Cricetulus griseus: one gene and its partners. The protein of the gene in region 5 interacts with the protein of the main gene of each other region in a biochemical or structural test. Links are inferred from orthologs where the notes say so. Each region holds a gene or a part of one and is shown on either strand. Other genes may lie near its edges. The genes, in order: Mbp, Ywhab, Lgals8, Bag2, Lrrk2, Eif4ebp1 and Chgb.

The links.
Region 1: of the proteins of Lrrk2 (region 5) and Mbp, one has a biochemical effect on the other in vitro, tested with the Homo sapiens proteins (6 studies listed by BioGRID). The link is inferred for Cricetulus griseus from reciprocal best matches to the Homo sapiens genes LRRK2 and MBP.
Region 2: the proteins of Lrrk2 (region 5) and Ywhab interact on a protein array, tested with the Homo sapiens proteins (2 studies listed by BioGRID and IntAct, with this or other methods). The link is inferred for Cricetulus griseus from reciprocal best matches to the Homo sapiens genes LRRK2 and YWHAB.
Region 3: the proteins of Lrrk2 (region 5) and Lgals8 form a complex in vitro, tested with the Homo sapiens proteins (2 studies listed by BioGRID and IntAct, with this or other methods). The link is inferred for Cricetulus griseus from reciprocal best matches to the Homo sapiens genes LRRK2 and LGALS8.
Region 4: the proteins of Lrrk2 (region 5) and Bag2 form a complex in vitro, tested with the Homo sapiens proteins (2 studies listed by BioGRID and IntAct, with this or other methods). The link is inferred for Cricetulus griseus from reciprocal best matches to the Homo sapiens genes LRRK2 and BAG2.
Region 6: of the proteins of Lrrk2 (region 5) and Eif4ebp1, one has a biochemical effect on the other in vitro, tested with the Homo sapiens proteins (3 studies listed by BioGRID). The link is inferred for Cricetulus griseus from reciprocal best matches to the Homo sapiens genes LRRK2 and EIF4EBP1.
Region 7: the proteins of Lrrk2 (region 5) and Chgb interact on a protein array, tested with the Homo sapiens proteins (3 studies listed by BioGRID and IntAct, with this or other methods). The link is inferred for Cricetulus griseus from reciprocal best matches to the Homo sapiens genes LRRK2 and CHGB.

Annotation. Positions count from the first base shown.
Region 1 is NC_048595.1:233,085,353-233,089,503, reverse strand, and holds the start of Mbp (myelin basic protein), read left to right. Parts: upstream 1-1,260; 5' UTR 1,261-1,390; intron 1,391-1,521; exon of another isoform or gene 1,522-1,648; intron 1,649-1,654; exon of another isoform or gene 1,655-1,779; intron 1,780-4,151. UniProt on the Homo sapiens protein: The classic group of MBP isoforms (isoform 4-isoform 14) are with PLP the most abundant protein components of the myelin membrane in the CNS. They have a role in both its formation and stabilization.
Region 2 is NC_048599.1:15,522,230-15,526,572, reverse strand, and holds the start of Ywhab (14-3-3 protein beta/alpha), read left to right. Parts: upstream 1-1,466; 5' UTR 1,467-1,600; intron 1,601-4,343. UniProt on the Homo sapiens protein: Adapter protein implicated in the regulation of a large spectrum of both general and specialized signaling pathways. Binds to a large number of partners, usually by recognition of a phosphoserine or phosphothreonine motif.
Region 3 is NC_048596.1:236,458,974-236,462,611, reverse strand, and holds part of Lgals8 (galectin-8), read left to right. Parts: intron 1-105; coding exon 106-162; intron 163-2,175; coding exon 2,176-2,202; intron 2,203-2,940; coding exon 2,941-3,029; intron 3,030-3,638.
Region 4 is NW_023276807.1:14,227,100-14,231,490, forward strand, and holds the start of Bag2 (BAG family molecular chaperone regulator 2), read left to right. Parts: upstream 1-1,462; 5' UTR 1,463-1,533; coding exon 1,534-1,646; intron 1,647-4,391. UniProt on the Homo sapiens protein: Co-chaperone for HSP70 and HSC70 chaperone proteins. Acts as a nucleotide-exchange factor (NEF) promoting the release of ADP from the HSP70 and HSC70 proteins thereby triggering client/substrate protein release.
Region 5 is NC_048595.1:388,196,227-388,199,864, forward strand, and holds part of Lrrk2 (leucine-rich repeat serine/threonine-protein kinase 2), read left to right. Parts: intron 1-244; coding exon 245-354; intron 355-3,638. UniProt on the Homo sapiens protein: Serine/threonine-protein kinase which phosphorylates a broad range of proteins involved in multiple processes such as neuronal plasticity, innate immunity, autophagy, and vesicle trafficking.
Region 6 is NW_023276807.1:56,590,450-56,594,664, reverse strand, and holds the start of Eif4ebp1 (eukaryotic translation initiation factor 4E-binding protein 1), read left to right. Parts: upstream 1-1,379; 5' UTR 1,380-1,444; coding exon 1,445-1,586; intron 1,587-4,215. UniProt on the Homo sapiens protein: Repressor of translation initiation that regulates EIF4E activity by preventing its assembly into the eIF4F complex: hypophosphorylated form competes with EIF4G1/EIF4G3 and strongly binds to EIF4E, leading to repress translation.
Region 7 is NC_048599.1:45,789,325-45,793,755, reverse strand, and holds the start of Chgb (secretogranin-1), read left to right. Parts: upstream 1-1,627; coding exon 1,628-1,676; intron 1,677-4,431. UniProt on the Homo sapiens protein: Secretogranin-1 is a neuroendocrine secretory granule protein, which may be the precursor for other biologically active peptides.

The DNA of each region.
Region 1 (4,151 bases), about 160 Mb from region 5:
AAATTCTTTTCAAAGAGTCTAATTGGATCAGCCATACCTGCCACTGGGAAGGAAACCTGTTGTTCCTGGGAATCAACAGAAGCCTTGGAGGGCATGAGGCTGTTGTTCCCACTGTGGCTAGGCAGCTCCCAGATTCACTGACACCTGCAGGGCAGGGACATTGGGACACATCTGTCTCCTGGCTGCTGACATTGAGTTTTGATGCCTGGAATGGGACCCAAAGTTCTAACATTCTCTGATGTCCTGAGCATCAAGCCAGCTGTGAGCACTGGACATCCCTGTCCTGGGTGGCCCTCTTGCTTCAAACAGGCTTAAAGTCACTCCATCTTAGGTTGGACCAGGACCTTTCCCCTGCTTTTCTATCCTTACCTCCAAATCCCAGGACCTACATCCTCTCCGACTCCCCCTCGTATACCATAGCTCCTAGGTGCACGGACTAGTTAGGTGTCTCTACACTACTGTGAAAATAGTTGTCTTAGAAAGACTGGCATTTGGAAATAGTCACAAGATCCTCCACCTTCCATGAGGAGGTGAAACGCCTGGAAACTCCCTAGGAGCCAGCTCTGAGACTTCCTGTCCTCTGTTCTTTGCATGCATAGTGTGTGTCCCTAGGTTGTCTGATTGATACCCTCATAATGTTTATCTCACGAAGAACTAGAGACTTACTCAGCGTGGTCCCCTTCCACTAGTTCCTCCCACCTACCCTGAGTCAGGCTGATGGAGTCAAAAGATCCATGTGGCAGCAGGGAACCTGTGTTCAAGTAAGCACAGTGGGGTCCTCAGTGGCAGAAAGGGAAATTTCCTTGCTGGAGTCACTAGCCTCCTTCGTGACAACAGACGTCCTGGGCCCTCTAGCCAGCACCTGCGGTCTCAGCTCCAGCTTCAGGCCCAGAACACAAAAACTACCTCGGGTCCGGCTGACCTTCTCATCCGGAACAGGTGCCAGGGATCAAGGTAACCCATGGTACAGGGCGAGCGATGCCAATTAGACCTCTCTTCCGAGCTCCCGCTGTCCAGGCTTCTGAAGCAGGAAAGGTTCCGAGAGCAGCGGTGCGGAGCGTAGGGCGGTGACGAGCAAAGCCCCGCCCCGCGGCTCGCAGGGCTGCCCTGCCCCTGGGTCCCCGCTTGTCCTCCGCCCTCCCAGTGGCGCGCATTTACCTGCTTGCAGGCAGAGGGAGGCGGGGCGGGAGCGGGGTGCGCGCCCGTCCCCGGAGCAGCCGCTGTCAGTCACCGCTGCTGAGCGCCAGCGAGGACGAGCCTCTGGCCCAGGCGGCCCGCGCCTGGCGACCCGAAACACAGTACCCGCGGCCCAGCGACCCCGAGCCCAGCGTCGGGCCCCTCCTGCCGGGCTCCCGGGCGCCCATTGGCTTCCAAGGCGCAGGCAGCACTGGTGAGTGATCGTCATCAGGGACGCGCGGGGCGGCCCTGGAGCCTTTGTCTCCGCGCCCCTAAGAGCGGGAGACCTCGGCACCGAGCCTGACTCTCAAAGAGACGAAGGGAAGGGTGCTCGGTACTGGCACCAGAACTCTGATCCCTCCCCAGGCCAGGAGCGCCCGGGTCACAACTGACCAGAGGAGCAGGTGTCCCCGCAGGTGGCAGCTGGGCGACCTCTCGGACCGAAACCACGTCGGCAGCCCCATCTTTCTTGGCAAGTGGTGGACGCAAGTGTAGACTCAGGTCCACAGCGGTGGGGACTAGGAGCCTGCAGGATAGCCCGGAGTGGTCTCCGGCCAGGCCTGGGGACCCCGGGGTCGCTGAAACTCGAGCGGCCTAAAAATGGTGAGGGGAGGAGTTTAGAGGTGGGAGGTGACCTCGGTCTAGAGAGACAGCCGTCCGCGTGCGGAGAGGGGTCCTGATGGGCTCCGAGGGCGCCCAGGGGCCCACCTAAGCCTGCCTTGCCTGCTAACCACACACCTGCTGGCCCTCGTGCGAGCCCTGCCCTGCTCTGCCCTTCCCCACAAGGAGAAGCAGTTCCTCTTCGAGCAGAGGGCGGCGACAGGCACTTGTCCAGGCTTCCGCCTTCTCCGGGCCTGTCTCGGGCTCCTAGGCCCTCTCCCACCCTGCCCACCTGCTGGCCCCCGCGCTGTGTCCAGCCCGGCCCCGTCTTCCCGCCCTAACTTGATCTCTTGGTCCTGCTGAAGCGCCGGGTCCCAGTAGCCCCCGGGGGACAGTCCTCGTGTTCATGTTCTGCTTTGGTGTGTTGTAAACGCCTCTGGTTTTTAGGGGATGTGCGTACCCTGTGTGGGATTTTGAGGTGTTTCTCTAGTCCCCTGATTTGGGAGGTGGAGCGAGGCTTGGACAAGGGTTTGTGATTCTCTGAGGAATCAGTTCTGACACTTGACGCTTGCCAGCAGGACAGCTGCTGAGCCACACAGCACACCACACCACATGAGAGTGGATCTGTGCCGTTGGGGACAGTCTTGGAGCAGGGCGTGAGAGCCTGTCGGGTGGGAGGCATCAGACACTGGACAGGCATCGCCTCTGCCTGCGCAGGACACCGGGCATGCAACTAGAACATTTCTTTAGAAGAAGGCAACCTTAGGGAGGTCTCATTTAAGACCTGTGGCTTTGGAGATTATGTCTAGATGAGCTCAAAGGACCACTCACTCACTACTCATGGCTCTCCCAGAAGAGCTTCCCCTGCCACCGGCACCTCTGGGATGGGTGGGGGCACCCGTGTTAGAGGATGGGATCCTGGGAAGAGGCCAACCCAAGTTGGAGTGCAGGATAACCACATAACAGGTGCACAGCCCCCCAGCTCGTGTAGACATTCCCAGATTCTCGGTTGGATAAACAGAAACCTGAGAGAGAAAATAACAGTTTAAAATAATCGTGAATGTGAGGTGCAACGCCTAAGAATTTAATTGTTCTGAAATGCGTACTTTTATCGACTTGAGATTTTTTTAAAAATGTGTCAAATCCACTTTTGATGTCTGTCTAGATATGAAGTGTTGGTTCTTGGTGGAAATGGTGTGTGTGATTTTTTTAAAAAAAATCTGTGAACACAGAAAAAGAACATAGCCCCATCTTTCAAGGATGTTCCAGTTTAGCCTGGATTTTGGAGTGCTAAAGCTTATTTTGTTTGAATCTTGGTTTCCTCTTCAGGCTCTTTATGTTTTTAATGCTTAGATTATATTTATTTACTTATGGGTATAGGTGGGTGAACAAGTGTGGAGGTCAAAGGATAACTTGCAAGGGGTCAGCTTTCGCCTTCCACCATGTGGGTTTCGCCCCTCTCCAGGTTCTTTCCAATGTCAGCAGCTTCCCCTGCCTTCCCAATAGCAGGTGGCATTGACTGACCACTCACCAAACACCAGGCTCGATACTGAAAACTGTTGACTCCTGCATTTAAGTTTTAACTGAAGTGGGAGAGCTTCATCCCCCCCCCCTTCCTTTCTTCTTAAATGTCCACCATTAGGGGATGGAGAGATGGCTCAGTGGTTAAAGATGCTCCCCTGTCCTTGTAGGGGGCCCTAGTTAAGTTCCCAGCACCCACATCAGTTGGCTCATCACTGCTTGTAACTCTAGCTCCTAGGAATCCGACACAGTCTTCTGGACTCTGAGGGTACCAGCTTTTACAACATGCAAATACCCCCACCCAGATATACATATGACCAAAAGTAAAATTTTAAGGCCACAACTAGCTAGTGGCCATGCCTATTAAAACATCCAGGTTCCATCCCCCAGGTGGCCTGACCATAGAGACACCCATCTTAGTTGGTATCCTTTGCTTAGCTTTCTTTATTGATAAGGAAGAAAAGCAAGTGTCCCTGTGACCCAGCGTCACATTAATAAGCTATTGCTTGCAAAGACAGGTTCTTACCAGTCCCCCAGAGCACACTAAAGGAATCTGGGAGGTCCTATGCTGCAACAAAGAGATAACACATCAGAAGTCCCTGTGCCTCCCAAGCACATGGGAAAACTGCTAGAACATTCTTCCATGAAGGCTTTAAGTCTCTATTGAAATCTGTGGTGGGCAAATTTTAGCCTAGAAACAAAGTCCATAGGAGATGCTTGTTAGCGATTCTGAAGCTACCAGGAGCTACACTCAGGAGGTGTAAAGATTAAAGATGCCGCACTGTGGCTCTGAAAGTTCTTTTGCTCTGGGCTTTGTGAGCTCTAGGGGAGGAGAGAAAGGGCAGGGGAGTGGA
Region 2 (4,343 bases), on a different chromosome or scaffold from region 5:
GTACCATCCCTGGGCTGATGGTCCTGGGTTCTATTAGAAAGCAGGTTGAGCTAGCCTGTAAGCAGCATCCCTCCATGGCTTCTGCATCAGTTCCTGCCTCCAGGTTCCTGCCCTGTTTTCTGACTTCCTTTGATGATGAACAGTGATTTGGAAGTGTAAGCCAAATAAACCCTTTCCTTCCAAGTTGCTTTGGTCATGGTGTTTCATCACAACAATAGAAACCCTAAGCAACAATCTCAAACTGTTTATAAATACTGAGAAAGTACATTGGGAGAATAGGGAGCTCCATAAATGAATTGGGGTGCTGACAACCACTAAGGGCAGCTTCTGGGGAGTTCTGATAGTCTTACTCATAGAACTATATGCCTGAGTCTGTAGTTCTGGACACACAGAATGGCAATGAAAAAAGATCACTTGGCATTTGGTGGGGGCAGGGCTCTGAGTCAAGTGGTGAATTATAAATCTATCATTAAGCTACGTAAGGGAGAAATGACAAAGGTCTATTTGTTCTTTCTCCGAAGAACTGTAAGCTTCAAGACAGCAGGGCAACCGTCTGTCTTGTCCCTTGCTGTATTTTCCAGCGTTCAGAAAGCTGCCACACAGAATTTGTGAAAAGTGAAGGAGTGGTGATAGAGGTATTTTGAAGGGCTAGATTTAAGGGTCAACGGGAGTATTAACAATCTCAAGTAACAGTGAAAACCGTCTGGAGAGCCCCGGATTCCTGTCTTTGAGGCTTTCCTATAAATGATACTTGGGGACCAGGGAATCTCAGTGAAGAATGCATATACAGAGGGTGGTTTTGTTTTTTGTTTTTTGTTTTTCTTAAGACCTTGAGAGTGTTCTGTTCCTGACACTTCACGTAGCTTCCTGGGTCTAGGAGAGGAACAGTAAGTACCTTTTAGGCCTGAAATAGGAATTACTGAAAAAGTAGGGCTGAGCCATTTCTGTTCTCCTTTGGTTACAAGCATTCCCTTAGCGCACAGCTAACAGGACTGAGGGCCTCCGATTCCGTGAGGATTATTTTCAGGGTGGGGTGGGAACATATGACCCCCGAACCTGGACCAAGAACGCTCCGAGCTTCCGAACCCTCCCTCCGGGAGCCCGCCCTGTTCTCACACATCCCAGCCTTCGGGCGGTCACCTCAGCTCCGCCCTCTCTCCTTTCTCCTCTTCCTGCTCCCCACCCCACTTCCTTTCCCCGCGTCCGCCCCCACCTCGCTCCCACCCAGGCCCTGCGCCCTCCCACGACCGCTCCCTCTAGGCTCTCCGTGACTTCCCCTCCTCCGGCTATCACCGCCCTTTTCGGGAGGACGGGGCAACCCCGTGCCTCGCTCACCCAATGAGGAGCCGGCTCAGGGTGGGGCGGGACTTGGGCTAGAGCGGAAGTGGTGGCCGGAGCGGAAGTGCAGCTGCCGCCACCGCCGCCGCCGCCGCCGATTCCTGAGCCGGGTAGCCGCTGCCGCCGCCGCCACTGCAGCTCCGGTCGCCGCCACCGCCGCTGCCGCCGCTGCTGCCGCCGTCTGAGGAGTGGGCCTGGGGAAGACGCAGTCGCCGCCCTCCGAGCTTCCCGGAAGCGCCTTTGCTCGCTACAGTCCTCCACGGTGAGTGCGGCGCGGCTCCCAGGGGCCCCAGCGCGGAGCCCCTTCTCGGGCGGCGGCCGCGGCCCGTCTCGCCACCGCCCCTCCCCGCTTCCGGCCGGGCCTGCGCCTCCGCGGGAAGCCCGGGCTTCTCTCTCGGCGGGCCGCACGGGGTGCGGCTGGGGACGGCTGGGCCGCGGGCTCCCCTCGGCACCTCCTCTGCTCGGCGCCGCCCCTGCCTGCTCCCCCCGGGCCCGGAGCCTTCCCTCTGGGCCTGTCAACCTCGCTCCTTTGTGGCTTTCAAAAACTGAAAGGTAGCGGAAGGCGAGCGAGTCCCTGCTGCACTCCCCTGGATGAGCAAGGGTTTAACCTTGGCGACAGCTGGGGCGAATCCCTCTCCCACTCTGCAGTAGAGCTGTTTCATCATCGCCGGTGTGGGAAACCCGGCTGGACCCGAGATTCTCTTGACAGCGGGGTTGAGGTTTGAATCAAGAAATGGATTTGTGGGAATCGTTTTACTGACTCAAACCGGATTCCCAAAGGGGTGGGGGGAGATCAGGCTGAGAATTGAGGCTTCTCATGATATTTGTCGTCATTTACTGCCTTAATCTCGTGTGTCTGCGCCCCAAATTCCTCCAAACACCTTTTTTTTTTTTTTTTGGCTTATTTTGTGTTTTACTGCTTGGAATTTGTCTGTTAGTGGGGAAGGAGTGGGCGGGATGTGGACCCTTTCTTTCCAAGATGAGCGCATCTGGGTCTATTGCAAATGGAGAACCTGCGTGCAGGGCGGATTCCAAAGGTGGCAGCCTTGCTGAGAATTTGCCAGTCTCTCTGTAAAATAAGTCTTGTCCTTGCCTTCAGTACATTCCCTTTGGTGAGACCAGATAGTATTCCACTCTTGCTTTTACTTGTCTGATGTGGGAGGGGCAATCTGTAAGATGTTATGAGTCTGTAATGTCACAGGAGCCAATGCAGAAAGCTGCAACACTAAGGAGAATGTGAAAATTACATTTCTCACCATATCTCAAGTGTTTCTGTGAAACCACACATAACAGTTTATAGGCCTGAACACGAGGTTACTCAGCGTTTTACATTTAGCTGCTGGGAATTTATAGAATATTAACTTGATTTTTTGGTGGATTTCTTCTTGACTGCCTCCATCCAGCGGACCTCATTTCTTAGGGTTGTCCGAGGTTTTTTCTTTTTCTTTTTTATTCATATATTTTTTTTTTTAAAGATCGACGGCCATGGCAGCATACAGATGGAGAATATTGGGTTGTTGTTGTTGTTGTTTTTCTTTCTTTCTTCATCCAAGTTAGAATTTTAAGCATGACCTTAGAAATCGAAGACTGAAAATCCACTACCAACTGCTGAATTATTTTCCTAACCTCTGCCTTCAAACATGATAAGAAACCATTCACCCATCTTACAAATGAAGTCTTCATGAGAAATGAGGTGATTTGGCCTAAACCACACACCTACTTTCAGACTGAATATGCTCTTTCATCTATGGCAAGTATTTATGGACTGCCAGCCCCTGGAGTATGGCTCTTACCCTGTTAATCTTCTGTACGTTTCCCATGATGCAGTGCTTGTGTTACGTTGAAGCCATTTTAGACTTGGAGCTGTATGGATCAGGGAGGCAGCCTGTGTGAAACCAGGCCGAGCATATTCCCTTGGTGCTTGTTCCCTAGGCAAGGGTCTCCAGAGATTTGGGTTGCTGCAAAAAGTGCATTTTTCCCACTTGGCTGTGGATCCAAAAACAGCACTGAAGATGACGTTAGGTAAATTTGATTCAGTTCTTTCTCTGTACTGTTTTCTGGCAGTGATCATCAGAAGTTAATTATCTCTGCTTCTTAGTTTCCCTATCTCCACAGTTATAAACTGTAAGTTGTTAAGTATAAACCTTTGATTTTGTTGTATTTTAATGGTTGAGTTCACATTCTTCTTTCTCCCTTTCTGATAAGACACAGTCTTGTTCTGTCCACTTGCTATTGAAAAATGATATATTATGTAACTGTACATGTAGCAAGTCCAGTTTTTCTCATCTGGACCATACATATGATAACGGTATTCCCTCTTTCCCACCTTTATGCTGTGTAGCCCTGCCTAATCTCAAACTCACTGCTTTAGGCTTCTTCTGACTCTTAGGTGCTGGGATTACAGGTAAGCACCTCTGTGCTGGGCTGGCAACATAACTTTTGATGTGTGGTGGCAGACTGAATCAAAATAAGCTTCTGGACCGGGTGGTCTACAGGAGCTTGTTCCAGGACAGCCTCCAAAGCCACAGAGAAACCCTGTCTCAAAAAACAAAAGCAAAACTAAACAAAAAAGCTTCTGGAATGTAGATTTTCTTAATACAAATAAAATTATTTTAAAAAAATAATTGAATATAAATGAATATATGCCACGGTGTTTAAATATGTAAAATAGTTGTATAAGTTGTGGGATCTTTAAATAGCCTATCTCCTCAGACATGATTTTTTTGGTTTTTCAAGACAGAGTTTCTCTGTATAACAGCCCTGGAACACACTGTAGACCAGGCTGGCCTGGAACTCATAGAGATCTGCCTGCCTCTGCTTCCCGAATGCTGGGATTAAAGATGTGCACCACCACTGCCTGGCCAGACATGATTTCTTTTTGTTGACGAATAAAGTCTTTTCTTCTAGCCCATTGAGAAATACAGACACAGGGTCCATACTTTGTGTAGTCAAGATGCAGTGCATAGCACAGCTGAACTTGCAGCACTTGTGTAGCTATAACTTAG
Region 3 (3,638 bases), on a different chromosome or scaffold from region 5:
AATCATAATTCTCAGTACTTTTCCATGCTCAGTGTCACTGATTTTTTTATTATGTTCACTATTTTAAAAAGATTCTGATGATGTTAATCTATGATCTTTTTGTAGGATTTACAGAGTATGGAAACATCTACCCTGGGCCTGACACAGATAAGTAGAGAAAATGTAAATATCCTCTCCATGAACCAGTAATTTAAAAATGTTCTTAGTTACCATCAGTGGAAGGAAGTCTTTATTTAGTTTTTGAAATTATTGAGTTTTCTGTATTCATTCATGTGTGTGTAGGTACATGTGTACGTGTGTGTACATGTATGTGGAGGCCAGAGGTCAGTTCTGGAAGTCTTTATCAATTGCTCTACATCTTTTTTTAAAATTATTTTTTGCATGTATATGTGTGCAGTATATGCATGTGTATACATGTTCACATGTGTTGGCATGTGTGTGAAAGCCAGAAATAGACGCTAGATGTCTTCCTTGATTGTTCTCAGCATTCTGAGGCAGAGTTCGTAGTTGAACCCAGAGCCTGCCAATTCAGCTAGTCTTAAGTAGCCAGCTTGCTCCAGAGATCCTGTCATGTGCTAGGATTACAGGCAGGCCTCCATGCTGGCCCAGCATTTATATGGGTGAGTGCTGAGGATTTAAACTCCAGTCCTCATGCTTGTTCTGCAAGTGCCTTAGCCTCTGGACCACCTCCCTAACACTTCCACCTTATTTTTTTGAGACAGGGTCTCTCACTGAGCCTGGGACTCACCTATTGGCTAGGCTGGCTGGTCAGCTTGCCCTCCTTTCTCTGCCTCTGCAGCACTGGGATTACCAGTGTGCAATTCCCATGCCTGGCTTTTGCATGTGTGCATAGCAAGTACCATACCAACTGAGCTGTCTCCCTAGCTTCACCAATTAAGTTTTTAATGTGAGGTCAGGACAGAAGCAGTCATTTAAGAACCAAGGAACATACTGTTTTATGGTCTTGGGCACCGTAATTTTTTTTTGGAGGGGGGCACTGTATTTTTGTTGACATGTTACCTGCTAGTTAAATGGCTACCACTCTGTGGTCATGTGAAAAGCACTTTGTCACCCTAACTTCTTAAGAGATATTGGAACGAAGCATTTGTAAATCCTGAACACCAAGGGCACTGCAGATGAACTCTGCCCCTTTGTGGCAACAGGAGCAGTTGTAAAATTGACACTGCTGTTGTGGAAAAAGCAAGGCCTTACACCTCTGCACATCCATGCTTACAGGTGGAATAACAATGTCAGTATTTGGAGGGCTCTTGGGGAGGATAGGTAAAATGTGTTTGAAGTTCACATGTAAACCTTTGAACAACCATTAATTTGTGGGTGCTAAAGTATTCACATGAAGTGCCAGGGTCCAGCCTGTATCAGTCCCATGCTACAGAGGCCATCTGTTCTGGACTGATATCTTTGGGACTGCCATTGGAGCCAGCCGAACAGCTCCGGGTCCATCCCTGAGTGGGAGAGTGTGGTTCGGGAAACTCCTAGCTACCCCACGGCATTAAGGATGAGACAGACACATCTTGTCATCTCAGGAGTGCTCTCAGTCCATGCTGGAGACTGGAGTCCATGGTTTATTCAAGCATCCTCTTAATAGCTTTCCAACAGTGGGGAAAAGACATCTATTATCATGTATCAAGCTGATATTAAATATTTCCTTTAATCCTAGAGGTAGTCTTAGAACTGCACGTCCTCACCAGCCTCTCACCAGTCCCTAGGCTGGTACACAAGCTTCCTTGTATACTACTAGGCTTACTAGTTTCCAGGCACGTTTTCATCAGCCCCCATGATGGGTATGCATCTACCCAGAGGCCTTGGTCCATTGTTACACAAACTAGGAACCATTCCCCACCAAGGCCAGGCATCTAGTGGTAACCAGCCAGCATCTGAAAGACAATGGGAGATTGAAGCTCCTGGGATCGAGCTGAGGTTTGTACCCCAAAATATCATAATTGATATTTTTTGGCCCCAACAATGAAGGACACCAGACTTCCTTCCAGTCCATGTTGCTCTTCAGAAGTCTTTGCACAGCACCTGTCATGAAACACAGTGCTTGTGTCAGCAAGGCAGATAAGGCACTGATACATGATGCCACAGCAGGCTGCTCCTTGCAAACCTGTCAGCCTGCCCAGTAGGTTGTGCTCACTTTTCTTTCTCTCCCACCAGGTATATAAGTCTGGCAAGGCACATTTGGTGAGTACTTTTTTTTTTTGCTTGGTTATTCCTTGCAGGACATTTTATAAACGACCCAGAACATGAACCGCTGAGCCTTGAAGGCAGCTACATTCTTTCCACACATTATTGTAGAACTGTTTCCTATAATCTGGTAATAGAGGAGACACTTCTAAAATCATACTCAGAACTGTGTAAGAGCATAGACTGAACTGTCACTCACACTAAAATCCACCCCCCTCAGCTGTTTGTCTAAGGTTTGAAGAGCCAATGATTTAACTCTGTTTAGAAATTAAGTTCTAATGCTGGGTGGTGGTGGCGCATGCCTTTAATCCCAGCACTTGGGAAGCAGAGGCAGGCGGATCTCTGTGAGTTCAAGGCCAACCTGGTCTAACTGCTACCTCCACTTCCAGCAGAAGCCCAGGGCAGCCCCTGGCATTGTAACTTTCCCTGGACAGACATGTCCTCAGGCATGTGTCTGAACCACTCATGTGGGTTGCTGGTCCCATTAGACCTTAGATAGCTCTGCAGCCATGTCTCATGCATGAGGAGTCAGGTGTCACCCAGGCTGTGAAAACAATCACTGTGTGAGTGTGTCCTGTTAGACAAGATGAGCTTTGCATGGTACCCAGCTGAAATGAAAACAAAGGTCTGTCCCCTCCTGGGGTTCACAGACTCTTAACCCACCATGTTGTTAGGAATTTTCCCACAAGGTCCTTGCCTGAAGATTGCCTCATTCTGACTGTGGCCCCTTTTCAGAGCCTGCCATTTGAAGCAAGGTTAAACGCCTCCATGGGCCCTGGACGAACTGTTGTCATTAAAGGAGAAGTGAATACAAATGCCAAAGGGTCAGTATTGCTGCGCCACTGTTGTCTTATGGACTGGGGGCATGTTGGTAGAGCTGGTGTGCTTTCCTGAAAGGAGGGACCATGGCAGTGCAAGGTCCCACTAAAGACCTGTTGGCAGAGTCAGGACTAGGGACAGCTTCTGGCTGGGCCCCCTTTCAGCCAGGTAGGTGGAATTTTTGTTCACGAGGCTCCTCTAGGATAGCCTCAGTGTACCAAACTTGGGGTCACAGTCCATACCCTAAGAAGCCAAGTTCAGCTATCCATCCTCAAGGAACCAATGAAAAAAGCCAGATTAATAGTGGGAAGCAGAAAAGGAGTTATTCAGTGCAGAAAAATGAGTTATTCAATACAGAAAAAAGGAGTTATTCAGTGCAGAAAAGGGGTTATTCGATGTAGAAAAAGGAGTTATTCAATGTAGAAAAAGAATTTAGTCAATGTGGCCACATGGGGAAGAGCAACAAAGAGGACCAGTGACCCCTGGCCTGCATTTGTAGGGTCCTGTGGTACAATTAAAGTTTAAATAGAGGGCCAAGGATCTGTACATCTCAGCAGTCCCAGTCAAGGCGTGGTCCCACCACCACTGGCCCATTATTGTTGGGGCTTCAGTCT
Region 4 (4,391 bases), on a different chromosome or scaffold from region 5:
CTGGTGACACAAAATTAAAATAAAATGGTTACTTTGAAGATATCTGCTATATTAGTTCCTTTTGCTGGGATAAAACACCATGACCAAGGCAACTTATAAATCATTTAAGCCCCGCGGTGGTGGCACTTGCCTTTGATCCCAGTACTCAGGAGGCAGAGGCAGGCAGATCTCTGTGAGTTCCAGACCAGCCTGGTCTACAGAGGGAGTTCCAGGACAGGTTCCAAAGCTACAGAAAAACCCTGTCTCAAAAAACAAAGCAAAACATCATTTAATTGGGCTCAGCTACAGAGGGTCAGAGTCACGATGGCATCAAGGACAGGTTCTGAGCACTCATCTGGAACCCAAGGAGGAGGCAGAGACACACTGGGAATGGCTAGTCTTCTGCAACATGCCCAGAGTGACATACTTCCTCCAGCAAGACCACACATAATCGTTCCCAAACAGCCAACTGAGGACCAGATGCCAGAGAGCATAAGACACTGAATCCATGACATCTGCCTTGTTTAGTTGCTAACCTAGGACAAAGGCAGATGCTATACCACCGAGCTACGTCTACAGCCCCTTATACTTTTTGAGATTTTTAGCTCTTGGCAAAGCAACCCCGCCTGGCCTTTGAACTCACTCTGGCCCGAGAGACACAATCCTTTATCAACATCCAGATGAGCTGGCATTAGACCTGAGATGAGCGCAAGCTTCGATTTTTCAAGACATTCACAAAACGTTCAAATTTCACATTTGTGTCATGAAATGACAATGTTTAATGAAGCCAGATAACCTACTGTTCCTTATTATGTAAAATGAGTTGGGGATGGGGCGGGTGGTGATGGTGGTGGAGGACCTGGAAGCCAGCTGTGCTTAAGGGACTTGACTCTGTTAAGTCATCAAATGGCTTTGAGTTCTGATTCAAGGTTGTAAATCCAAGTTTCTCATTTTCTGTGCACCGAGAGGACAAAACACAACTCTAACCAGACATGGCTTTGTATTTCAACCCTACTCCACCTCTTAGTGACCTCTGCAGGAGCCTATTGAATATTATTCACGGAGGATTTCAATAAGTTGGGTGTGAAAGTAATAACCTTTCATTAGAAAGGCGAGACAGTATAAATGCACTTGGCTTTTCCTTATTTGGAGCACAGTGTTGCCCAGGCTCTCCCTGTCCTCTTAGGAGCCTGCCTGGTAACCCGGCAGGTCGGGCAAGTAGAGACTGCCCCTAAGGCGCACTCAATTGTCTTAACGCTACACCAGGGGATCTTTTCTCCCACGTCACGGGCCGCACGATTTTGTCCCTGCTGTGAATTGTGGGTGTTGGGACAAACATCAGAAGCCATCGGCGAGCCGGCAGCCCGGTGGGAGGCTGGCGACGGGCACCGGGACAGGGTCCCCCACCCGAGTGCTGGCGGCTGCGCCCGCGCCTGCCCTTGTTTGGCCGCGCGGCCTCGGGGGCGGTGCCGTCCGCGTCAGCGGCGCCCGCGGTGACGGCGACGTGCGGCCCGCGCCACTGCTGCCCGCGGACGCCCCGGACCCCCGGAGCTCATGGCCCAGGCGAAGATCAGCGCCAAGGCCCACGAGGGTCGCTTCTGTCGCTCCTCGTCCATGGCAGACCGCTCCAGTCGCCTGCTGGAGAGCCTGGACCAGCTGGAGCTCAGGTGAGGGCGGGCGGGCGGGTGAGCGTGCAGGCGGGGGCGCCTCGGGTGGGCTCCACTCCCCGGGCGAGCGCGCGCGGCCTGCCCAACTTCCAGAACCTTGTGTGTGGTCCCCGCTGCCTCTAACTTCCACGTTTCCAGTAATGCTCTTTGGAGGGAGGCAGCAGCTTAGTGGGGTCTCTCCCTCCCACCTTCCCATTGTAGTAAGTTTCTTTGCCCCAAACCACTTCATAGTAACACAAGAGTAAGGAAAATTCCAGACTGCACCTCCCGCGACCAGCGAGAATTAGACCCACGAGTGGCCGTTGTGGGTGGCAAAGTTGGATGCGTTCTTTCATTTTCTTAACCACGTGCAATGCCCTCCGCATTCGGTCTGTATCTGTTGTGCATTTAGAAGATACTGATGACACCTAGGAAGTGCCAGCCACAGGCCTGAAAAGGTACGAGTCACACTCTGCCTGAGATTCTATCGCAGGATCGGTGTTGTAGTAAAATTTCTAAATAGTAAATACTAGCAAATGCTGTAAATACTTTGTTGCCTACAGCAATTTGAGATCTTACCTATCTGGTTAATGTCTCCGAAGTTGTGCAAGTCTTGATTGTGTGCAGGTGTTGTTCCATGAAAATCTTATCAAGGCACCCTGGGTCTTCTGGAACTGCGAACATTTTGTTCCCTAGTTTTCTCCAGGTTCTGCATAAGCAAAAGAATATGAGCAAAATCATAAGAGTCTTGTGTGCCTAATCTCCTTCCATTCGTCCACCAAACAAACAAACGGGAGGATGTTTGCACAGAAAACTACCACAAGCAGCATTGTTACAAATGAGGCATTTGTTATTATTACTATTAGGAGCAGAGATCCAGACGGTGAGAAATTTTTTTCACAATTTCCTGAGTAGCCACAAGAGAAGCCTTAACCATACAGTCCCCAGCCCGGAGTGAGACAAAGGGACCTCAGCTTTCAAGCCCTTCTGAGGAGAGGGAATGCTTCCCTCTACAAAGTAGGCACTGAACTTGGACAGTATATTCTCAACTGCTCAGATTTTTTTCTCCTTGAAAGGGTTTAGGAAGTTGTTACTCTTCTTTAGCTGAGTCACTGTCCTGAAACCTGAATTAATGCCTCCCTAGTGCTGGGTAGGGGGGTGGAGGGGGTTCCTGAAAGCCTTGGGTTTGGTGTTGCAGTCTAATGTTTGGTTAATGTAAAAGGAATTCTGACTGTTGCACATATGTGATTAATTGATACTTTAACTATTTGCTGAGAGGGAGAGTTTAATGTGTGTTTAATGGCTCAAGGCATGGGGCTCCTTTTTAGAAGCCACTTTGACACAGGGCACTGCACTATTAAAAATTTAGACTTTTAGCTGGGCAGTGGTGGCACACACCTCTAATCCCAGCACTCGGGAGGTAGAAGCAGGTGGATATCTGTGAATTTGAGGCCAGCCTGGTCTACACAGTGAGTTCCAGGACTGGCTTCATAGTTACTGAGAAACCCTGTCTTAAAAAAAAACAAAATAAAACAAAACAAAATTTTTAAATATGGATGATAGAGGAAAGATGAAGCTTGTGTGATTTCCCGATACTAGCTTCCTTGTATACAAATATTAGCAAGGCTGTGGATTTGGTGCTGTAAAACCCTGGTTTGTAGATAGTATGCATTTTCCAGTCAGTTGTGTGGATTCTATTGACAGTGGAAGTCACTTTTTCTTCTGAAACTGAAACCACATCAAAGGCTTTATATCCTGGAGGCTGAACTGACCTCTGGGATTGCCTAAAATGCTTTAAAATGTTCAGCCCTGTTTTACAAGCTGTTAGTGGATTGTCGTTCGTTTCTATTAGTTTATAATATTAACTACACTATCTGACATTAAAAAAAATATTTTCTACTACAGCTCCTCTAAAGAGGTAACCCTGTCCTTTCTTGATTTTTGCGACCAGTTCTATGGGATTCTGCGCCCTTCGTGGCTAGATGGCTTACTTATTACTTTTTAATGTTTATCCTAGTTTATAAATAATACATGTTAGCATCTATCTGCATGCTAGGCCTCATGCCTCTGTGGGAGTTACCATTATCTGTATTCTACAGATGAGAAATTGAAGCTCAGATATAAACGACATGCCTCAAGTTGCAGCCAAGAGCTGTGGACTCCACGTTTGAACACAGGAAGAGGGGCTGCTCAGATCAAACACCATGTGTCTTAGTGTTGAATATATCATTTTTCAAACTGTCCAGTTGGCATAAGAACGTGCTTTTACTAAAAGAAAAATCAATTTAGCATTTAATTGAGTAAATATTGAGCACCCAGTACGTGCCAAGTATTGAGTAGCTTCTAGAAGCTGTGGGTGATAAAGCAGCTGGGTCTCGGGGATTGGCAGAGGAGGAATGAATGATAGGTAGGACTGGGAGGTCGGCTGTCCGTACACTTCCCAAATGGTCCCATAGGGAGTAGTTCTTTCCAGTCCACCCAGGCAGGAAATGATGTTGTCGCCAGGGCCAAGGAAATGCACTGTCCGCTGCTTTGGTTTCTTACTGCTTAAGGTTCCTGTCAGGATGTCCCAGTGTCCCAGGACTCACAAAGCAAGTCGACACCATATTTAATTGGAGTAATAGTCTGTAATTTAAAAGAACACTTTTCATATACCTTGTAATTTGAAACTTCTATAACCCTTGAGGAGGAGGAAGCTGTTATTATCTCTTTCAGCTGTGAGAGCAGTGGGTTGCAAAGGAGCTTAGTTGATAGGATGCTTGTCTA
Region 5 (3,638 bases):
ACACAGCTCAGTTGGTAGAATGCTTGCATACCACACAGGAAGCCCTGGGTTCTGTCATCCTCAGCATCGGGTAAACTGGGTGTGGTGGTACATGGCTGTAATTCTAGCATGTTGCATGGAAAAGAGGACTGGAGGAGAGTCAAGGCCATTCATGGCTACAAAATGAGTTCAATACTAGCTTGGGGTATACAGAACACTATCTAAAAAAAAAAAAAAAGTAAGTATTTACCTTTCTTGCTTTCAGGTGGGTTGGTCACTTCTGTGCAAATTAATAGAAGTCTGCCCAGGGACATTGCCGAGCTTAATAGGACCCCAGGATATTGGAAATGATTGGGAGTTCCTCAGAATTCATCAGTAAGTATGACAGATGTGTGGAAATAAACTGCATTGAAGAATTATATATGACACCCTTTGCCATCCAAAACCATTCTGATAAATTCCTTCAAAGCAGATATAGTTTTCTTACATCGATAATTTATATTTATAGAGACCTTTAAACTCAGATTTATGAATTAGAAAACTAAAGTTGATGGATGGTACAATATTAGGTGAGATGACTTACAAACACAGTTCTGTGATTATGTAAATGATTAAATTGTATATCTTTGAGTATGACGTAAGACAAAGCAAGACAAGCTTTTTACTATTAATGGTGGAAATGAGAGAATCCATGAATTCCTTGAAAAACATGGCAACTAAGAAGTTACTTCTGACCAGAGGCCTTGAACAAGACCAGTGACTCTGCAATGAATATTTGCCATTAAGCTGATGGGACAAGGGGGGTGTACTACATAATACACCAGAGCCTCCAGTGTCACCATGGCAAATGAAAAGCTGTTTGAGAGGCAGGAAAGGAGAAGCAAAGAGATTTTTCTGTTGTTGTTTTGTTTTTGTTTTTGTTTTTTTGTTATTGTTGTTTTTGCTTTCATTTGCTTTCTTGCTTACTTTGTGTTATTTTTCTTTTGTGTGTGTGGGGGTGGGCTGCATGGCAGGGATGAAGAAAGGACATCGGGGGACTGGGAGGCAAGCAGAATTGGGGTGCATTATGTGAAACTCCCAAGGAGTCAATAAGAAGTTAAATTAAAAAAAAAGAAGCTACCTCTGTGAGCATTTATTATGCTCTACTGTCTTCATGTGCACATTTGCATGTGTCTGGGCATGCTAATCTCAGTGAAAGTAGACTGTGGCTTGCAAGAGGAAGAGAAAAGAGGAAATGAATTCCCTCTCAACCCTCTGAAGCCTAATCTAGGTGACTATTTATCATCCATTTGGTTGGAGTTCTCAACATAATGTCTTTCATAAGACCACATTCATAACCATAATTAGGTAAAACTTTTTGGAGAAAATTTATAGGAAATGTTCAGAGGAAAATCCTTTTAAAAAATAATGTAGTTTCTGGAGACTTATGAAAGTGTCTTGTCATTAGGTGCCCTCAGACCTAGAGCCACCATGATGAAGATATTATACTCCCAATGTTATGTTACTTGAGAAAAATATATTTTACTAAAAACTGAATTTTATAATCCTTTCAGAAAATTTATATGGGGTAGAACAGTGTGTCTATTCCTAAAGGAGTTATTATAGGCCTTGGTGTTTACATGTTTATCCACTTGTACTATATAGGTGTTGTTAGTTTTTAGTTTCTACCATCTGAAGAGAATGGTTTAGAAAAACAGCCAATTTCAAACTAATTTTGAAATTCCATGTGTCAGTTCTGTAACATTTAATAAAGACCTACCCATGGTATACTTGTAATTAGTCATTCTGATTTTAATGTCCCTTTTGTTTGAGGATTTCCAATTTTCTTCAAGTACAGTTAATCTTCAATATCACTCAGAGACTGTTGGAAATCTCACCTCCTTGTATTCCAGAACAAACCAACCATTTGGGGGGAATTGTGATACTATTTTGATGGGAAATATTCATGTCTTCACTCACAAATTCTCTTGCTTACCACTCAAGTCCAGCCCTCTACCTCCATGGGTTGTCTACACTCCTGCTTTAAGAGAGATCTGAGTTTGTGACCAAGGGAGAAACACTGCTCTCTACACTAGAATATTTTGGGAAAAATTTTGTAAGACGTTTTTCTCTGTAGCCAAGCTTTTCCCCTCCAAAATTGACCAATACCAAAGAGAATTCTGTAGCAGTCATTTGAAGGATGGTGAGCACACATTTTCAGCTCTAGCTGATGCTGTGAACCTGGAAGAGTAGAGCCTAAAAATGAGGCAAAGTCTCATGCAACAATCAACTTTATTCAGAGCATCATTCAATTTATACTCTAATAGTCAAGAAGAGTCACATCAGTATAGTATACAATCACAAGGACCAGCCACACATGGCAAAAATATGTTTTTTTTTTCATGGAGGCAAATAAACAAAGTAAATTCACTCTTTTCTGCTTGCTATACCTGAGAGGGACACAAAAACACACTCCAAGATGAATTCTGTGGTTTTGAAGACACCAAGGTTACAACTCTTGCCCTGTTTGCTTGAAGTTTTCTCACAAGCAATCAGAATTTGCCTTTCATGACTCCATTCTTGGCCTGTGTTCTGACAGAATGCAAGAGGGAGAAGCAGGGACAGAATGGGTAGAGAGATAATTGGCAAGATATCAACAGACCTTCACCTTGCTAGGAGACCAAAGGACATGTTTTGTGAATATAGAAGAGGCTGTGGATAGCACCAGCTCTGTCTTCTTCCAACAACATAAAACAAAATACCACCTGGCAGAAAATGATTAAAGGCTACATATGGAATGGGTAACAGAGATTAAAATCTAGTGAATCTGAGAACAGGTACTATTGATATGAGTTCATTATCTAGTGTGGAATATAACTTTATCAAAGATAGTAGCTAACAATAATTTTAATATTTAAGTAGATCCTGAAGGTTGTGTACAAATGAACGTCTTTATTCAATCTTCCTGTATGTTACTATGTCAACATGCATGACATATAATTCATAAATTCTTATGATGTATCTAAGACATCTCCTCTGGCTATGGATCATCTTCATGGTCCTTTGTGTATTAATGACTAAGTAGGGGCATTTGGAGGAATATAGGTGGGACTTGGCTTCTATCAAGACATAGAATAATACTTCCCTCCTAAGTGTCTTAATTTTTCCATTGTTGTGGGGCAATCCCCAGGCCTTGTATCTGGCAGGCAGGCACTCTGTCACTGAGCTACATGCAAGCATAAACATTTAGGTTTCTACTAAATGTTTCCCTCCAACTTTCCTGAGACATGGTTGATAGCTAGAAAAATGTATGTAGTCAATGCAATTAACTTGTTAATTTGATGCACAGAATCATGTGAAGTTTTTGCCACAATTGATGCAAACAGTATTCCTGGTTATTTCATTTTCTTATTTATATTTTTTGTATTGGTAGAGATTGAAACTGGGGTCTTGGGCATGCTGGGCAAGTGCTCTGCCAAGAGCTACACCACAAGTCAGGATGTTAATTTTATTAGCTTGCTTTTAGTTTGTACCAAGGGAGAATGTATCCCATGAACTTTGATGAACAGAACAAAGTACAGTAAGTATATAGGTGAGTGAGAAACAGTACTTAAATACTGTACGTGCTTTGCCCACATGTGCAGTCAGTGCTTTGTCCACTGGGAAGGCTCCTTGGCTTC
Region 6 (4,215 bases), on a different chromosome or scaffold from region 5:
CAGAACTTAGTACATATTAGGTAAGTTGTCTACCAACTAGGCTGCATTCCAAGTCCCCCCTTTCTTTCTCTCACTTTTTGAGATAAGGTCTCACATTGTCTGGCCCAGGCTGTACCTCAAACTCACTGTAACCATGCCTGGCCTCAACTTTGTGGTATTTATCTTGTCTCAGATTCTTCAGTATTAGAACTATGTGAGCTACAGCCCAGTTCTAGCTTTCTTGTTTTCTTTGAAACAGGGTCTTGTTGTGTATCATAGGCTAGAAGCCTTGATCCTCTTGCCTCAGCCTCCCAAGTGCTGGGACAAGTGTGTGGCACCATACCTAGCTTGAGTGTTGAGCTTTGTAAGCAGGCCCTCCCTGGAATCTTAGTTCTGGGAAATCTAGGGCCTCCATTGCAACCAAACAAGTCAAAAGCAAAACTCCTTTCAAAATGCTTCTCCCAAAGGGAGGAAGGTGACCCGGTATGTTCTCAAGTGTGGAGAGAGACAGGCTAGCCTGGACTCCAGCGAAGGTTGGCATACATTCAACAGTATGACCTCAGGCATTTATTCGTCAGCTGTGTGATCTTGTGCAAAACCCTGTCCTTTTCTGAACTTCAGTTTTCTGCTGTTTGTGGTTGTTATTGATTGCTTGCTTTGCTTTGTGGAGATGTAGTCCCACTAAGAAGCCTGGGCTATCCTGTAACTCATGATCCTTCTAGGGCTTCAGCCTCCCCAGTTCTGAAATTACAGGCATTCCCTACCACATGGAGATTGATAGATTCTCTATCCTATTAGACATGACGGTCCTCCTTGCCACTCCCCTCCCCTCCCTACCAAAGTGTTGGAATAGACTACAATTTGAGGACTGTTGGGGAAACGTCTTTGACCAGCCCATCCTCTACAGAGGTCCGATCTTGCCACATCAGATTTACAGTCAGTTTCCAGCTGGCTGGCTAGTTCCCTCTTAGTCCACCACTCCTTTCAAGGCCAGGGATGCGCATTGTTCAGCCACTGCTCTGACTCCTACAGCACAGTGGAAACGAAAGAAGCGTTAAGATGGGCGAAGGATCAGCCCACCCTTACTTTCTTCTAGTAGGAACAGCTGGGGATCGAGAGATCACATCCTAATATAGAAAGCAGGCCGTCTAGTGCGCCGAAAACGCGGTCACCAAATCGGAGAGCTTTTCCAACGTCACCCCTATATAGCTCTTCTCAGTGCGTCGGGGAGGGACCCCGGAACCTAAGGGGCCAACACTGGGGTTCCCGCACTGGAGAGGGCAGAAGCCGCTAGGTCAGCAGCTGGGAACAACTTGCATGCAGCGGGCTGGAGCTGGGTGGGGCCGGGCGGACCTCAAGTCTCAGGGGGCGTGGAGCCCAGGCGGAAGGGGCGGGCCGGGCTGGAGAAGGGCTGGGCCGAGGTGCCGCGGGGCTGCTGGAGGGTCGTGGGCGGCACGTAGGAGACATGTCTGGGGGTAGCAGCTGCAGCCAGACTCCCAGCCGGGCCATCCCCACTCGCCGGGTAGCCCTCGGCGACGGCGTGCAGCTCCCGCCCGGGGACTATAGCACCACCCCGGGCGGCACACTCTTCAGCACCACCCCAGGAGGTAGGCGCGGGCCGGGGTTGGGGCGACCTCCAGGGCAGGAGGGCACCCCGGGATCCGGAGTCGCACGTGCGACGGGGGTGGCGGCGCTCAAGGGTTCCATAGCTGGACAGAACGGATAGGGGCGTCAGGAAGGCTGGAGGGTAACCGTCTCGGTTGCCCGCCTGCTGGGTGTGGTGGAGCGTGGTCTGGGGGCCCGTCTGCAAACTGCGCGCTTTTTCCTGGGAGAGACCGCGGAGTGCCCCAAGCACACAGATAGGCACTCTGCCATGATTACCATGTGCTCAAGTGAGGCCTCTCTGGGTGTCACGACAGTTCTAGGGTGGGTCAGGATGGGGGTCTGGGTGGAGCAGGGGAAGGGCCAGGCCTGGAGATTAAGTTTAGTTGATCTCTCTTGGAATAAAGGACGCCTGCACACTTTTTAACCTTCCCCGGGCAACCCTCGTTTTGCGTTGGGACACTCGCTTATTGATGAAGGCTGGGCGTTGAGGGTGCTCTCTGCCCCAGGAGCACGTCTCGGCCACCTGTGGCATGAAGCCGATTTAGAGAGTGAGATCTCCAGACAGGGGCCTGGCGCTGCGTCCATGGCTGTGCAGAACAACACGTTCCTCGGGTCTGGGGGGAGGGCACAACGCTGAATTCGCCCAAGTGGCGGAGGATGAGGAAGAGGAAGCTGAGTTGGCGCGGGACGGGGCCGGGCTCCAGGAACTAGGCATTCCCAGCTTGCCCCGAGCCCCAGTATAGGCGCTGATGAAACCTACACGCCCGTTTGCATGATGAAATGCTCGTGGCTCACTACTTCCCTCCCATTCTCGAGCTGCTCCCACCCATTTTGCGCTTCTCCCTTCCCTGATCTCCTCCCCCAAGCTTCTCCTCTTACAACTCAAAAAAACAGGAGAGTTCCTGGCGCTGCGCTGAACCTTGGGCTACTGCAGGCGCGTCCAGGCCACATGCCTTTTTTCTCAAGCAGCTGTTCCTATACCAGGGAACACAGCCAGACCCCAGAACCAAGGCGCCGTTGAAGGGATCTTGTAGATGAGTGTCCAGTTTGTGCCTCTTGGTCTTCAGAACAACCCCCCCCCCTTTTTGAGCGCGTGTCTGTTATGCATTGTCACGATGTGTTCCTAGCAAACAGGTAGAGCGGGGAAGGCATTCTCCCTTTCATTAGAAATGGCCCAGGGAAAACTCTGCAGGCTTCTGGTCTCCCTTTCCTGGAGTTCTCAGAACTTTCCTGGCCTCTTCTAGTTCACACTCTTGCACCCTTTCTTTGTCTTGTTACAGAACTTTGTGTTTAAGCACAAACTTGGCAGACAGTTGAGTCCTTACAGGTGAGGCGTGAATCTTTTTTTTTTTTTTTTTTTTTTTATGTACAGGCACTGAGGCAGGCTTAAAGGCTCAGGGAAACCCTTTTTGCCCCCCCCCCCTTTTTTTTTTTTTTTTTTCGGATGGACAGTACTGTTTGTATGAAGATCCACTTCACACTATGGACTGGGAAGTGTCAAAGTTGGCAAATCATGATGTCCCAAAGCCACTGGCCCTTTGTCAGGGTGTTTTTTTTTTTTTTTTTTTTTTTTTTGTGGGGTACACAGCCCATAGCTTGAGGAGAGTCTATCTCATTTCTGCCAAAGCCAACAAGCCTGTTCTTTAGCTAAACAGTTGGATCTTCTTCAAGGGCTATTCCTTCCAGGGCTTCTCTGCCAAAGTGGAGAAGCTTGACCCATTTGCTTCAGAGTTTCTCATTACTTAGACCCCCAATTAAATACGGAGTTGGAGTACAAAGGTCTACAGAGTGAGTTCCAGGACAGCCAGGGTTGCATGAAGATCCACTTGCCTCTGCCTTCCTAGTTCTGGGACTAAAGGTGTGCACCACCACATCTGGCCATCCAGGCTTTCCTTACTGTTACATACCTTTTGGGCTGTTTCTAATGGCTCTGACCTGTACTTCCTTGGAAATCCATCTAACTTTTGAATTTTTCTACATATATCAAGGGCTGGCTGGGAGACAAAGGCCATGTTAATATCCTTGAGATTTGCTATGTCCTCAGGATCTATAGGAGTATATAGCCAATAAGCTTGAAGCAGGACTGAGATATTGCCTAACCATTTTACAGGATTTCCAGGTGAAAGGGACAAGCGACATCCATACATGTGTTATTTGCCTTTTCAGGTCTTTGGGAGTCTGGCAAAGTAGATTCCATCCAGGCATGAAGTCAGGCTGGCATTTCCTGAACTTAGGCTTTTCTGTACATCTTGGCTTGTGATTGACCCTTAGGGGCTGTGAGCTTTTCATGAAGGAATATTGCCTTAAGTCCCTTCAGCTGAGATGGCTTTGAAGCAGTTGTCTTGGGGAGGCCATGAGGGAGGCCAGAATGCCAGGACACAGCAGGTGGCCTGAGCCTCCTCCATTCCTGTGGTCATTATCCCTTTGCTGGCCCACCCAGTTAGGTATTCTGAGAACCTAAGACGTTTCTGAGGGGAGTGTCCTATGTGGGTCTTTAAGATGGTCAGCAGTCCCATAAACAGAATCTTCTAGTAAAGGCCCAGGATGGATGTTTGACCTCTGACGAAGTTGTTGGGGTGCCCGTACCTATTAGTGCCTGGGTGAGGTTAATCAGGCGAGCAGTCAGGGTGG
Region 7 (4,431 bases), on a different chromosome or scaffold from region 5:
AGGTGATGTAATCTTTATGTCCTTTCAATTTTACCAGTTGTCCCAGAAATATCATTTTTAAGACAATTCTAGTATTGGGAAGCTGATAATATAGGACAGTGGTAGAGTGCTTGCCTGCAAGCCCATGGCCGTATGTTCTCCCCAGCAATGCAACCCCCCTCCAAAAAAAAAAAAAACAAAAAGGAAATGTAAAAACATACATTCTGTAGCTGCAGTTTTGGTAAAAACAATCTTCCAGGAAGATGAATCTATCTATATACTCATCATGTGCAAAAAGAATTAGAGACTTTTCAGGAGAAGGAACTGGAAATCTCTTTTTGGTTTGTCAGTAGGCAATTTCATCACCTAACCAAAGAGATCTCAAGTTAAGTTTCAATGTTCCTCAGAATCTGTTATCAGAGCAGATTGTATCTGTTCTGGGCAGGATACTTGCCTGTGCTTTTTCCCGATTCCTTATTAGGCTAACAGAATCCATGTCAAAAATAATCTGGAAGATGTTATCATCTCCCTTGCACACATAATTAAAATGCATTTCTATCTCAATTTAAAAGCAAGCAAAGATGAATAGGTTTTCAGGGATGTAGTAGTTCCTACAAGGTGGTTACTTCATACCCTGCCCTTCAGCTATTCCCCTGTTATAAAGAAGTAACTAAAGGCCAAAGAAGAAGAAGAAGAAGAAGAAGAATAAGAAGAAGAAGAAGAAGAAGAAGAAGAAGAAGAAGAAGAGCTAACAACCTAAATAAATGTCTACTAGGAAGAGCTGGTTAAACATCAACATACCCACTCAGTGCAACAAGAGGGAGAAGGGGAGGGAGGAAAGAGGGAAAGGACGGGAGAGGGAGAGGAATAGTGCCAGTTACATATGCTCCGGACTAAATTAGGAATAATCCACAGAAACTGCTTACAGCGGGAACTGAACTTGGAAACCGTGGTTAAAAGAGCGAGATAATTTTGCAGTGTATCCTTTTGGCCCATCTGATTTTTTTTAAAGCCCATCTGAATAAGCTATGTGTGTGGGGTGGGAGGTGTCCACAAATGGAAGACAGACAGAGTCACAGATGGTAAGACAGATACACTGACTTAACATCTGAACCAAGAGCAAGTTATAGATTCCTAAAGTGTGCAGCCATCACTCTTCTTGTAAAGGTCTGAGAACCGCCTGTGTGTTCTAAGCAAGGATCTTCCTCGGCTGGGCAGAGGAGACACAAAGCTGACCTCATCGTTTACACACATTAGAAGCACATGTACCCACAGCCTCAAACTCGCATCTGCAAGCTCTGAGGTATGTGCGGGGGAGCTGGAGCGCAGGCGCGTGCAATCTGAGCTGGACCCTTGTCTCTCCTCGCCTGGGACAGACAGCACCTGGCCTTCCAGCTTCCCTGCCTGCTCCTGTTGGACCCAGCACAGGGCCACGCTCACTGGCTGAGTTTCTGCCCACTGGCGCCGCCCCGGGGCTGCTCCGTGACGTCAGGGTTGAGCAAGGGGCGCCCCCGCTAGCCGCTCGCCCTCGGGCGCTGCAGCCCGCCTGCCCTTCATAAGAGCCAGACCTGCGTCCACCGCGCTACAGCTGCTCTGCGGAGCCCGCACCCGCTGTGCTCCTCCTGGCACGCAGCTGGCGAGCAGGGCCATGCAGACCGCCGTGCTCCTCGGCCTCCTGGGCGCTGCAGCTCTGGCCGGTGAGTGGATTTCAGCACCGCGGACAGCTCCCTGAGCTGGGCCCACAGCCCAGTGCTGGAGGCGCTAGGTTTCATCCTCTTACCTAGCCTCTTCTTCCCCTGGTATCCCTTGCCTCACCGCCCTGTGAGTTGAGGAAACAAGAGCCCCCAGCCTTTCCCTGCTTTTCCCGCAGGGGCTGTGCGGCCCTTGCAAGCAAAGCCGCATTCTGTGTTCTCTGCAGATACCTCAAGCTCTCTACAAGGCTAGAAAGAACCTTGTAGTCTGATACTCTGTGTGACTCTTGACAGCACTGAGACCGCAGCAGGGTGGGAATGCATGCAATTGGCACCTGCAAAATTTCCTCTATTATTATAAAGATGACGAGTTAGAATTAGATACGTGTGCATATAAGGCATTTTCAGGTCTTCCTGTGTCTGTGTTTACAGGGTCAACATATTTATTCTTTTTATTTATGTTTATAGAGAGAGGTAATTCGCGTTTAAATTGATCAGTTTTTTAATTTATGAATGGGATTTGCTCTAGATATTTCTTTGTATCTAGAAATAAAAATAACAAGACTTTGTAATAATCATAAAAGTATCTCCAGAGCAGTAAACTAATGTCTCAGTCAATTTTGGAGGATGAAAACAAAAGGAGTTAATATTTGATGATTTGTGTGTGGAAGATTGTGGTGTTGAATTTCAAATTACTCTTAAAATTACTCAGTGATCTCTGATGGCTTGAAGTGTGTTTGTGTTGGGATACTGATGAGTAAGTACAACACCAAATTAAGCTAGCAGCTTTCTTTGAATGGCCGCAGAGAAGTATTTTGTTCTGAGACTGAGATTCCCAACTAGACTTGACTCCATAAATATAAACCTTTGATGGACAGGAATCACTTGATTTAACGTTTGACAAAATGAAAGCAAAAGGTAATTTATTTTATTGCATTCACAATGTTCTCAATTTTTAAAAATCATTCTTGTGAATAACTAATACATGTTCTCAGTTTTTTTTAGAAAACAAACTGAATCAGTTAGAGTTCTTTGAGTCCATAATATTTCAGAAAGACATTGATGAAGAGGTCACAGTGATACTGTATGTTGTGTTCTAGATTACAGAACAGTAACATTTTTGTAACTCAACTGTGGTGGTTAAACATTTTCATACCTCCTATGAAGGAATAAAAGCTCATATTTAATAGTAACTAAAATGGAACTATGATTCCCTCTCATTTTTTAGGCTATAATTCACACATTATGCTGCCTCTTAAAAGTGTCTAACTCCCTGGTGTATAAGCTAGTCACAGTCTATAACCATCTCCACAATGAAATTTCAGGACATGCTCATCACCCCAGAAAGACACCCCGTATCTTAGCAATCACCTCCCCTATTTCCTCCTCCCCAAATCTGGCAATGAGGGACTTCTAATAGTTTTGTTATTTAGCAAAGTTGTGGTTGGTAACAAGCCCTCAGGAAGTCATCTAGTTCATTTTCTCCCATTAAGAGCTTATAAAAGGAGATCCACAACTGTCTATGGCACTTTAGATATTAACATGAATCCATATCATATGAAGAAGGATTTTTTTTAACTATGCAGATCTTGTTTGACTGGCAACCTTGGTTGTAACTTGGGCATGCCCATGATTTACTGGTAGAGGGACATGTTTAACCTGTTTTTGCTGCTGTAATTTCCAACTGGGTTTAAACTTTTATAGTCATAATAGTCTTATGGATGCTGATACTTCAGATGTTATTCCCAGATTTATTATTTGATCCTTTTTTTAACCATTTGATTATTTCACTGTCCCATAAGTGTTTATTTCTTATTTGCTACAAAAATAAGTTGAGAAAGTTAAGGAGACTCAATATATCTTTAGTTATTACTTTGCTAGCACAGATTCTATTGGAAGAAACGTGTGTCACTTACCAGTCTCACCAAGTACACAATGTGCTTTCATAAGCAAATCCTAGTTCCTTTCTATTAAGAGTTTGAGGAGCCTGCCTGAGGGAAACAGGGAAGTTCTATACTAGTAAGTCGTAAACTGCTAATTGTCTAGGACAATGGGACATCCCTTGACCATCAGATCTGACAAGGGTTAGTACTTTGGCTGTATGGGTAGTTAAAGTACTCACTTTTCATTGGGGGAGACAACAGACAGAACTATATATGTGGAGCTGCATTGCTATAGAAGGTTTGGAAAGCTGAATTTGGAAAGGGTGACTTCTTTGTCATCTAGGGACAAAGCTCCCATTGTTACTTTCCAGAGAATTTCACAGATTTCAGGTCAAAAGAGAAAAGTGCCAAGGTACGTTCTCAAAATAGCAGTTGTCTGGAGCATAAAAGAATGGCCCAGGACTGGGGCTGCAGCTCAGTTGGGGGGAGTGATTGTCTGTCATGTGTGTGAACCTAGCCTCAGTCTTCAGCACTAAAGAAAAGGGAAAAACAACAGGACTTCCAAAGCCTGTATGACCCTGAGTGCCCAAAGTTGGCCAGCCAGGTCTTATCTAATCTGTGTTTGAAGAAGAACTTGGGGTCTTTCTTCAAAGCTTGTTAGGCACTTTTCAAATATTTTTAAATGATCCTTATCAGCTAGATGATATTGGGATAGAGAACTTGATACTTCTGATGGTGTTTACACAATTTTATACAATGCAGGGAAACATAATATTGAAACAGATGTAGAAGCAAACTGTTTAAGCAAAGATCTTGAGTGAGTAAGGATCTAATATCCACATCTTTGGTTGTTGTCTTTGAGGTTGGTTTTGTTTGTT